3 linked regions of the Arabidopsis thaliana genome follow. The protein of the gene in region 2 interacts with the protein of the main gene of each other region in a pairwise test. Each region holds a gene or a part of one and is shown on either strand. Other genes may lie near its edges. The genes, in order: KNAT6, BEL10 and KNAT2.

What was found.
Region 1: the proteins of BEL10 (region 2) and KNAT6 interact in binary tests that used the Arabidopsis thaliana proteins (3 or more experiments, as listed by UniProt).
Region 3: the proteins of BEL10 (region 2) and KNAT2 interact in binary tests that used the Arabidopsis thaliana proteins (3 or more experiments, as listed by UniProt).

Annotation. Positions count from the first base shown.
Region 1 is NC_003070.9:8,300,979-8,304,736, forward strand, and holds the start of KNAT6 (homeobox protein knotted-1-like 6), read right to left. Parts: upstream 1,623-3,758; 5' UTR 1,515-1,622; coding exon 1,194-1,514; intron 1,056-1,193; coding exon 927-1,055; intron 826-926; coding exon 687-825; intron 1-686. UniProt on the Arabidopsis thaliana protein: Plays a role in meristem function. Contributes to the shoot apical meristem (SAM) maintenance and organ separation by controlling boundary establishment in embryo in a CUC1, CUC2 and STM-dependent manner.
Region 2 is NC_003070.9:6,811,357-6,815,114, forward strand, and holds the start of BEL10 (BEL1-like homeodomain 10), read right to left. Parts: upstream 1,708-3,758; 5' UTR 1,487-1,707; intron 1,402-1,486; exon of another isoform or gene 848-1,401; intron 639-847; exon of another isoform or gene 572-638; 5' UTR 499-571; coding exon 1-498. Other genes in the region: AT1G19710 (UDP-Glycosyltransferase superfamily protein), read left to right, coding at 3,564-3,758.
Region 3 is NC_003070.9:26,574,708-26,578,465, reverse strand, and holds the start of KNAT2 (homeobox knotted-like protein), read right to left. Parts: upstream 1,981-3,758; 5' UTR 1,832-1,980; coding exon 1,559-1,831; intron 1,319-1,558; coding exon 1,184-1,318; intron 1,111-1,183; coding exon 972-1,110; intron 1-971. UniProt on the Arabidopsis thaliana protein: May play a role in meristem function, and may be involved in maintaining cells in an undifferentiated, meristematic state. Probably binds to the DNA sequence 5'-TGAC-3'.

The sequences.
Region 1 (3,758 bases), 1.5 Mb from region 2:
AAAATCAACTACACATATTGTTAAAAAGTTATGACTAGGTTTTTCTGTCAATTGGTTTTTCACTAGAAAAAAGCAACAAGTTGAAAAAACATTCAGTACGCAACAAGCCTCTGAAACGTCAAAATCAGAATCTCTACCACAAAAGTTTATTGCTTTCTACACCATTTTCTTTCTGACAGAGAAAGAAGAGAAAAAGATATAAAGTAAAATTTGTATGATTAGCACAAAGATCAACAACAAGAAGAAGAGGAAATCCCCACCACACTCCAACACCCTAATCCCATGGCTAAAACATTAAATGAACGAGTAAAATAATTGCACAACACCTTAAACAGATCTTTGTCTCCAGAGTTTCAACGTGCCCAAAAGAAAAGCACACACAAAACAAAACCCATCAAGGGAAAAATAGCTATGGAAATGAAACTTGTAGCTAGGGTTTATCTTCTTTTTTTTCATTTTTTATCTATTTTGCTTTCTGATCACTTCAAAAGCCTAGGGTTATTCTATCAACAAGCTACCAATCATTTTTCAGAAACTGGTCATATGAATCAAAACCCTATGGAAATATCGAGGAAAGGATATTATTAATGAAAAACCACGGAAAAGATCAAAAGAAATCATTCAGAACTAACCACAAAATAGAACCACTAAAAGACCGAACCAGAGAGGGATAATTTAAGACATACCAGAAACTCCCCTGGCAGACTCGACACCAGTACATAGGTTCCGTAGCTGCATCTCAATCTTGTTCAAGAAACACGTTGCCTCGTCAAACGGTCTTGCTAGATCCGATTTGTATTTCACTAATATATCGCAGTACGTTTCCTGATAATAAATTATCTTCTTAAGTACAAAAATTTCCAAAAAAAAATATTTTAACAAAAATAAAAATCCGAAAAAAAATCGAGGGAAAAAAAGAGAGAGACCATAAATTCATCAAGCTCAGGATCAGCTCCAAAGCAAGAAGAAGGAACAACCTCTTGCTTATAAACATCACTCTCCCGTTGAATCTCCTCTAGTAAACACGCTATCTCCGGTGGTGCTCCGACCTGTTTCTAAATTATGAAATTGTTAAACCATAAAATTATAAAAAAAACAATCAAATATCAAAGCTTCTCAATCTTATCTTTATCTTTAAAAAGTAAAACCTAGATTTTATCTAAGTGATAAAAAAAGAAAGAGTTAACGATCACCTTTTGGCAATCGATGTAAGCTTGAAGTAAGCGAGGATACGAAGGATGACAAGCGATTTTAGCTTTGATGACAGTTAGAGAAACGTTATCATCATTTCTTCGGATCTCCGGAGCGATCGAAGCCGCCTCCGACGACAAAGCGGAGACGGCTACTGAGAGTAGCTCGTCGGATCCGAAAACATCAGAGACACGATTTTCACCGGCGGAGGAACATAGCAAAGCTTGGTAATCGGAAGGAAACATGAGACTCTCCGGTGACATCATCAGAACCGACTTATCTGAATAATCACCGGCCGAATGGAAATTGTACATTCCATCCATAAGTATAAGATCTCCGGTAAGAACTCCTCCGTCTTCTAAATCGCTTTCTTGAATTGTCTTCTTGCAAAATCAAGAATCGATGAAGAAGAATAATATGAAACCGCTTATAACAAACTTTTTGGTTCTTGAAAATATTTATTTCTATGGGAGTGTGTAGAGAGAGAGAGAGGCTCGAGGGATCTTAATTTATTTTCTTTTGGAAGAAAAAAGATATGAAAGTTAACGGAGAAGAAAAATAAAATGATAATTACGAAAAAGGACATATGCTAAAAGGCTCAATGGAGCTTCAGGCTTCATAGGTCGAGATAAGGCCTTCCTAACATATATATCTAAGAAAGGTCCAAGGCTGTGTTATGATAGAATTTGCATGATCATGAGATTTTTAATATCAATGAAACATGGCGAGAAACAAAATTATATATTATTGAAAACGAAATGGAAAAAACGGAAAAAGTGTGATTATTTACCAGCATACTATGTCAGTTTATTTGAACTCTTTTTTTTCTCATCGACAATACACTTAGATGGTAACATAACTACTAGTACATATAACCACTAAACTACACGCAACTTATTTGAAAGCTCTGTGTAATTTTCTTTTCAAAAAGTATAGTTGATGACTTGATGTATATATTATAGGACCTATAGAAACAAATTGAGCATCTAACATAATGATTTGTATCAGTATCGGCATTGTATCGTTATCTTCATTCAAATATGATAATATGCATGTGTGAGCTGTAGACAGTTAAAAAAATAATCCCCAATGTATATATATTTTCGAAAAACTTTGTAGAAAATATATTTTTATTATGATCCTAAGAACATATATAGATACACCTACATAAATCGTTTATTTGATTGCAAATAGTGAAACAAGGTGAAAATGTTAAACAACAAGTGGAAAACCGAACAGAAGAAAGAAAACAAATGAAGTCGCATATCAGAAGATAATATAGTACTAATGATATTGAATCGAGTCAATTAGAAATAGATATTAGTTCAGTATATGAGAGATGTTTTGGGTATGTTGAATCGAATATATCAAACTGGAAAAACAAGAACTGGTTACAAACAACTAGTGAGCTGATACATACATATATATAGTTAAAGAGCGGTATTATTTTAATACTTGTCACTGTAAATTTGTTGCTAGATACAGAACAAAATTATCGAACACGACTACTAACAAAATGATAATCAACACATATATATTCAAATGATGGTATGAAATAAATCAAATGTGAAGAATATATGGATATGATAAGTGATTCTTAGTACCTACTACGTAGTAAGAAATTTTTTACCAACTCGGATGTTGGACACTTCGATTGTACGGGATGAAATGGGTTTCGAGAAGCGAAGGTCCGTTCCTAGATAGTAGATAAGAAGGCCCTAATGGAAAATCGTCTAATTAAGATTAAATTAGTATATAGTATCAGCTAGTGTTTACTTTAGAATAGTTCTGTATAAAGCAAGTTTGTGGATAAAACTAAGAATAAAATAAACGCTGGTCTAGGCGTATAGGAGCTGCAAAATCAATGGTCTTAGCTAATTTATGATTTATGAAATTTATGCCAAAATTGATGATGCTGATATTCATGATGACTTTAGCTTATGAAAATGAACTATGTAATTTATTCACAAAAATAGACATAAGCATAATTTGGTATATTTAATGATTTTACATATGTATTAAGTTTGAAATTATGAAATTGGCCGTAATTTAAAGAGAGTATCAAGAAAAAAACGAGCACTTTAACCAAAAAGAAAATAGAACGAGAGCATCTATAATATTTCGAATGGAACTATTCTTTTAGTTTTGTCGACAGCTTTTTACGTCTATCATATAATTTTCAATCAAGAAAGTGGCATGTTCTTTCATACTACTTTAATATAAACTTTGTTTCTGTTTTTATTTTTTTTCTCAAAGACTAGAGAAAGTCATTTTCATCTTAAAGGTACTTGCAAACTATTGGTTGCTCTAAATCACCTAACGTATCATAAATAATCAAGGGGAAATTAAGTTAAAGAAAGGAGACTTGAAATTAGATAAATATGAAGTCACAAAAGCGAAAACAATATATATATCACAAACGAGTTTGCCTTCTTATTATTGGCAAAGATCAGACGAAAATATGTTATTTATTTATTTAACATATTATTTGTTCACATATGCATATTCTTGGTGAGAAAAAACAATACAAATTTTTTCTGGAGACACAATCAAAATGTTCAATATTT
Region 2 (3,758 bases):
AACGCTGCTCATAAACCCTCCTGATGTCTCATTATACCGATAATTGTTGTAGAAGCCATTCCCACCATTACCAGCATAACCAGAGGAAGGATCAGATTGACCCAACAAGATCATTTCTTTGCTCTTCACACTCATCTCATCCACATGAAACGGTGACGTTTCCTTGACTGAAATTGAAGGATTCTGACTAGTAAACCCCAATTGGTATTGATGAAAGTGAAACGGAGCAACAGAGATCTGAGTACCAAGGCTCAAAGACAGTCCTTGACCATCGTGAAAGCTTAGATCGCTGCTTGAAACGGTACCGTTTCCTGTTACAACGTCTCCTGTGGTGGTTGGTGGGATAAAAACCATCTCGTTTCGAACAGTATCGCCGCCGGTGACGGTGAAAGAAGCGGCGGCGGATGAAGAAGAAGCTTGTTGGTTTTGTTGTTGATGGTTGAGAAAGATTGGTTCTTGCTGGTAACAACCGACATTACTTGTGTAATAAACTGCCATTGGTGTTTACACCTTTTAAAAGTTTTATTACAGTGAGTTCTTAGTTCGATGAGTTTGGTCGGGAAATGAGATCCTGCAAAAAAATAAGAGGAAGAAGAGTCGTGTAAGGTGTGGAATTTTAAAAATTTCTGATGGAATCTAAGAGAGGTTAAAACATCGTAATCATTTCACACCAAACCATTTTTTTTATATATCATACATAAACAGTTTCGAAAGCAACAAACAGAATCGGACCAAATTATTCGGAGGATTAAAGTCAAATTCTTGATAAAAAGCAAATGTTTTTCGTGAAGAACTGAAGAAACCCAGAAAAACCCAATACAGGAATTGTGTAATCGTAGAGGAATACCCGATCTATGGAGGTGAAATTGAGAGGAGAAAAAAACCCTAATTTGAGGTTGGAAAAAAAAATGCAGAGTAAAAAGAAATTGTGTAGCTCAACGTAGTGAGTCAAAAGCAGAGAAGATTCAATTATTACATAAAGAAGTAAAGTGTCTTGATGATTTCATCTCTTGTAGGAGAATTTCCAAAAAGCAAGGGAGAAAAAAAACACAGAAAGTATACAAAAAATAATAATCAAGAAACACAGTACAAGATTAATCATATCAAGAATCAAGAATCAAGAACTTGAATTTTTAAAAACTACCTGAGGGAGAGAATCAAAGTTAAAAGGAAGAAAAAAAACCTAGAGATTGTGTTTGTGAGTGTGGATGTGGCTGAATCAGGAAACACAAAAGCAGAAGAGTTTCGAACAGTTGAAGACAAAAAAAGATTTGAGACCCAATCCCGAGAGAGATAGAGAAAGAGGCGATTAATAATTGCAAAATTCTTAAATAAACAAATTTTTTTCAGTCCACAAGAACAATAAAACCAACCCAACTTATCATTGGGACATTAGACACCAACCCAATTTTTAAAAATATTATTATGCAATATCAACAATAAAATAAAATAATGATCACTACCGGAAAAATTTGACAACCGCTACCTGTAATTTTTAATTTTTTGCGGCAGAAGCTTCTGTTTCTGATGCTTAGAGTAAAGATAAATTAATATGATTTTTTTTGTGTGCCAACCATTCATAGAGAAACACGTGAGAGCTTACAAATCACCAATTTTCTTTTCTTGATTACGTGATAATATTTCTTATGACGACTTTAACATACAAAACTTAACAATTCCACACACACAAATAAATGGATTTTTATAGATGATTGTATTATACTTTAATGATGTTGTGTTGTCATTGACTTGAGACTCATACTACTTTTCCGTATAAGTTAACTAAATACAACCAAAAGAAAAAAGTTGAAGGAATGAGTGTTTATATATGAAAAGTTTAGTATTTGTATATTAAAAAAAAAAACCAAATCTAACTATTTAAACGAAATAATCTATAATGCGTACATTACCATGGTATCGTGGGAAACTTTTAACGACTTCCTGATTTGTGTACGTGAGGCTCCAAAATAGTGAAATTATTACCTGCCACAAATTATAGAGTCTAGATTTGGATTTCAAACTAAAATGTTTTTTTAAACTATTTGTTCTTATCACCTTGCTTTCATCATAAAGTTAAAGTTCGATACATTTTTAATAGAACTTCTTGAGCACTTTGTAGTTCAATATCTTTGAGGTTTTCTTTAAATGTTTGATATAACGGATATACTTTTAGTTATGCATGGTAGCGGAAATTAAACTCCATCAAATAAAACATAGAAACGTCATTATAGGTAGGAATATGAGATTACAAAACTGACCCTGATAAGCTGGTTTAAGGAAGAAGATAAAACAAAGGTGGGTGTGTGTCTGCTCAATTGCTTAATTGATGGATTAAATGACTTAACAACCAGTTGGTGAGTCCCTCCTTACTCTTCTGTTATACCCAATTTTTATTCTAAGTTCTCTTGTCTTTTTATTTCTTTTGTTATAAACCTTTTAGTTATACACTTACATGTTTGTATTTGCATATTCCACAATGAAGAATACGTAAAAGATTATCTTTATAGCTACACTAATAATATAATCCATTTCCTCTGATTTTTAAAATAACAAGTAGTTTCGTTTTGGTTTGTTGGAGATTGGATTTAGAGCAGCCGACACAAAATCATTTGGCAAGTACCATTGTGTTGGAAAATTATTATTCATGTGTTTTGAGTCTTTGAGAGATGATGATATTGACTTTTGTTTCCACGTGGATCTTGATTTATAATGATGATTAAAAATAAATTAATTAGGCAGTTAGCTGGTGAGAGATTGATTAAATCTACTAAAAATTTAGATTATTAATGATGTAATTATTTTTAAAACCGTATGGTTCTGTAAATCATATTTTAAAGTTGAGGATGAATCGATGATGCTAAACGAGGAAAATGTGTGTGAGTAAGAAATGAACAACCTTTGGTTTGGAGGAAAATGTTGAAGTATAATAATTCTTGCCAATTGTCAAATATATTAATTACATGGATATATCCGAAAAAAAACTTTATAATAAATAGCCACAAGTTATGGCCGTGTAACAAAAAGTAAAAGAATTTATTGCCACATACATTGTTGGACCATATATGAAGACGGATCATCACCACTAAAATTCATGTTTGTAACATTTATATTCTATGGATCGAAATCATTATGCTCTCCATTATTAGAACCAAACAAAACCAAACCAAAATTGTATCAGCAAAACTAATCTGAAGCCTAGCTTAGCTTAAGAAAAAAAAAGAATTAAAACCATATAGTATGCATTAACTATCATCATAACTAGTTTAGTTTTAGGCTTTTAGCAAATAGGCCTTTTAAAGCCCATTATAAATATGAAGAGAGGATTCCATCGGGGGCCTGCTGAGAAACGGCAATCAACTTCCTTCTAAATAACAAAAACGGCGTGAATTGCAAACTTCTGCAAAGAGTCAACACTGATTAGCGGCTTTTCCCCATTAAATCTCTCCTCTAAACTTCTTCGTTCCAAGCTTTCTCCATCACTGACGACAGATCCTTAGAAAGTTCTGAGATCGATTGTTACTGTGTAAACCCTAGGATGTGATTCTAAGCTGTAGAGAGAAACAATGGCGAAGCCATCAACGAGTATGTGGGCAACATTGCAGAAGAAGAGATGGCCACTGATGATTCTATTGGTTTTATCTGTATCAACAGTAGGAATGATTCTCGTGAGATCTACTTTTGATTCCTGTAGTGTTAGTGGAAAGAGATGTAGCCGAGAGAAGGAAGATAACAGTGACATTAAGATCCAATCGGTTTCT
Region 3 (3,758 bases), about 20 Mb from region 2:
CTATGGAAAAGTAGTATAAACTTTGGTTCATTCACCAAGAGAAGTTGGAGTAATCAAGAACTAGTAAAGTTTTGTTTTACCCATCAGTCTCTTAATGAAGATGAAAACAAGCGATACTACTAGAGATCTAAACATGAAGCCAAGGACAAACTCAAGAAAAATCAGTGGCATTTATTAGTGGAAGTTATGACTAGGTTTTTTCTCTATGATTGAATTTTCACTGGAAATAAGCAATTAAAAAACTTCCAGTACGACACTGAAACGTCAAAATCAGAATCTCTAGCGCAAAAGTTTTTGCTTTCATAGACCCATATTTTCTTCTGACAGAGGAGAAGATAATAATACAAGTATATATAAAAGTAACAAAAGAAAAGTATACCATACCAAAATCACTAGGAAAATAAATATCACTAACAGAGAAAATCCTACCCACCGGCTTTCCCCTAATATCCGCCCCACAGCTTAAACCATAGCTAATGATAGAAAATAAATGTCACAAAGATGTGTGAAGGTCATGGATCTATCTAAAGCATGAATGACTTCTACCAAATATAAAAGATGTGGCTGAATCAATCATTGTTTTCTAACAAAACTAGGGTTTTAGAGTTTCCTTGTTTTTTTCTGACTTTTATTGCCTTGGGTTGTCTAAACCGGATCTACTAAGCTCCTCCTAGTTTCAGCTACAACAACTTATCGATTCTCGTTTTCTTTAAGGAAAAAAAAAACAGTAGAAGATTTCCAATTTTTCCATCAATTCCAAGAAACTGATCATTGAAGCACAGAAAGGAAAAGTTATCTGAGGATAGATTTTCTAATCCGCAAGATCTGTAACTGTAAGGAGAAATTTGCGCAAGGATTTTAAAGGACACACAAACCGAGGATAGTGCTCAAAGATCAATAAAAACACTAGCTAGGAAACAAGAAATCAAAAGTACACTCGAACAAGAGATAGATATCACTTTAGTGCTGACCTGAAAGAGCTGTAGCAGACGCTGGACCAGTGCACAAGTTCTGAAGCTGCATTTCAATCTTGTTTATGAAAGTTGTAGCCTCGTCGAACGGCCTCGCAAGATCGGTTTTGTATTTAACCAATATATCACAGTAGGTTTCCTAGAATCACACCACAAAAAAACAAAATTATATTTTAAGAAAAACTAGAAGATCAAAGTTCAAGGCAACGAACAAAGTGAGAAACCATGAATTCATCAAGCTCAGGATCAGCTCCAAAGCAAGATAATGGAGCAACATCTCTCTTGTACACATGGTTCTCTCGCTGAATCTCTTCCAATATACACGCTATTTCCATAGGCGCTCCCACCTGTCAATCAATAACCAAAAAAAAAAAAAAATCACTCTCACATATAAACACAGTCTCTCTAGTTCTCCAATCTTATCTTAGGGTTAAAGTGGAATAGAAAAAAAAAAGTAAGAGAACTATCTTTAAATACGACGATGAATACATGTAAAATTCCTGACGCTTAATCAAATTAACCTTGAAAGCACAAAATCATACACAACAAGAAAAAGAAAAGACAAAACACGAAAGCAGCGAGATCACCTTTTGGCAATCGATGTAGGTTTGGAGTAAGCGAGGATACAAAGGATGAGAAGCGATTTTGGATTTGATGACACTAAGAGAGAAATTATCCTCAGCTTTTCGAATACGCGGAAGCAACTCCGAGGACAAAGCGGTAGCGAGTTCGTCGGATCCAAACAGTCTTTGATTGTCTCCGGTGGTTGAACAAATCAAAGACTGATAATCGGACGGCATCATCAACGTCGCTTTCTCCGAATAGTCTTCCGTCGAGCGGAAACCACACATTCTATCCATTAATGTGATCGTAGTGAGATACGATCAGTGATCGCCGCTTCTTCGATCCCTAGCCTTGTGCTTGCTTCTGAAGAATATGAAGAAACACAAAAGTAAGAAGTAACAAACTGCTTCAAAGAGAGAGAGAGATAGAGACAATGGAAATAGATAGACTGGCCAAGTTGAGGCGGTCTCGTAGTATAGTAGTCTGAGGGCAATGATCGTAAATATTTCAGCAAAAAACCAAAAAAAAAAAAAAATGATTTGTGACGAAAAGCAAAAAAAAAAAAAAATCACGAATATGAATTTTCATAGTTTATTATGATAATTTACAAGTTTTTCTTAAAGACACCATAATTTTTATTTTATTTTGTCGTACTAGTATAAAAGAAGAAAGATTTCAAGGGTTTGCCATATGTGTTAAGGAATACGATTCGAGTGATTATAAAAAGATTTCTTCGTGATTCAAGAGCACTTTTTTTAACTGTACGATTACATGGTTACGATTATTTTTGATATATAATATTATCGCACAAATGATCAAAATAGCACGCTAACCTTTAGAATTTATGACTTAGCTAATGAAGACAACAATTAGTACTTGTTAACAAAAACAGGTTAGACGATGGTAATTTGAATTTTGACAGTAAAAACAAATGATGGTAATTTTGTTAATTAATAAGCTTTTTGTTTCAATTACGGTGGCCGACACCTACTAGGCTACTACGATTCTAGTTGTCTAACCGGATCGGTTCAACTTCAATTTCACTCTTTCAATTTTCACCTAGTTTTGTTTCTCTGTAAAACACGTCTATGGTAGCTAGGTGCTCATTATCAATCACAACATAGTAAACAATTTTTGTTTTTTAATTGCTTTCAGTCATTTGCTAATTAAACACACTCTTAGGAACTATTTTTTATAGTGGCCACTCCACTTATCGCACTTCTTGTTATTTTCATAGAGAATCTGTTAGTCGCGTATAATATCAACTCAAAATGTTTCATTACCTTATATAGTAACAGAACCTGCAGTTTTTGTCATAAACCAAAATCCATCTATAAACCCTGTTGTAAGAAAAAAAACTATATTTTTGCATGGGTCTACTCCAGACCCGATCCGATGATCCATATCGTTTTTTCCGCAAAAAAAAATAAAAACAAATGTCATAAAGGTCTTTTTGATGATGGACAGGTTTGATTGACACATCCGTCGGACTACTTTGGTGTGAAATTTAACTGACATAAAGCTTTGTTTTAGTATCAAACCTTATAAAAACGACAGAACTTTCCTTCTCTCTCATTTCACTTCGTTGGATCGTATCGTATTGAATCCCCACCGGTGGCCTTCACAGCACATATTTATATTGTTTCTAAACTTTTCTGTATTTTTTGGGGGGGGTCACAAGTTTCTATAATCTATATGATCACTATCGTCGAGAAATGATTGCAAAAAAAAAATGTGTGTCTTGCAGAAAAAATAATAATAACAAAAAGTGACGACTAAATTATTAGATCAAGTGCATATAATTATGTTGCTAAGATAATATTGTACCACTCGAATGTTTCATCATGGATTGTTCATACTGTTCCCGTGATTTAGTGTTGTTAGGTTTCAATTCTTTGTATTGAGGTTTTTGTTAATATATTATTGTACCACTCGGTTGCTTCAACTTTGTAGGAGTTTATTGTCATTCTTTTTTGTATCTCATATCATCAATATGTGGTTTTGAACAAATTTGTTTCTGTTGTTAGAAATGTTACTGAAATTGGAGATTACTTAGCTTCTTATGGATTTTATTTATTTATTTTGGGAATCCCAGGTCTTAATACTCTCCTTTGGTTGTTTCTCTTTCTTTCTAAGTAGTTTTATGCTATACAATTACATGTTATCAAAATAATCTTAATATGGTTTATAAAATTTTATATGCTTGTCTTAATATGTTATGTT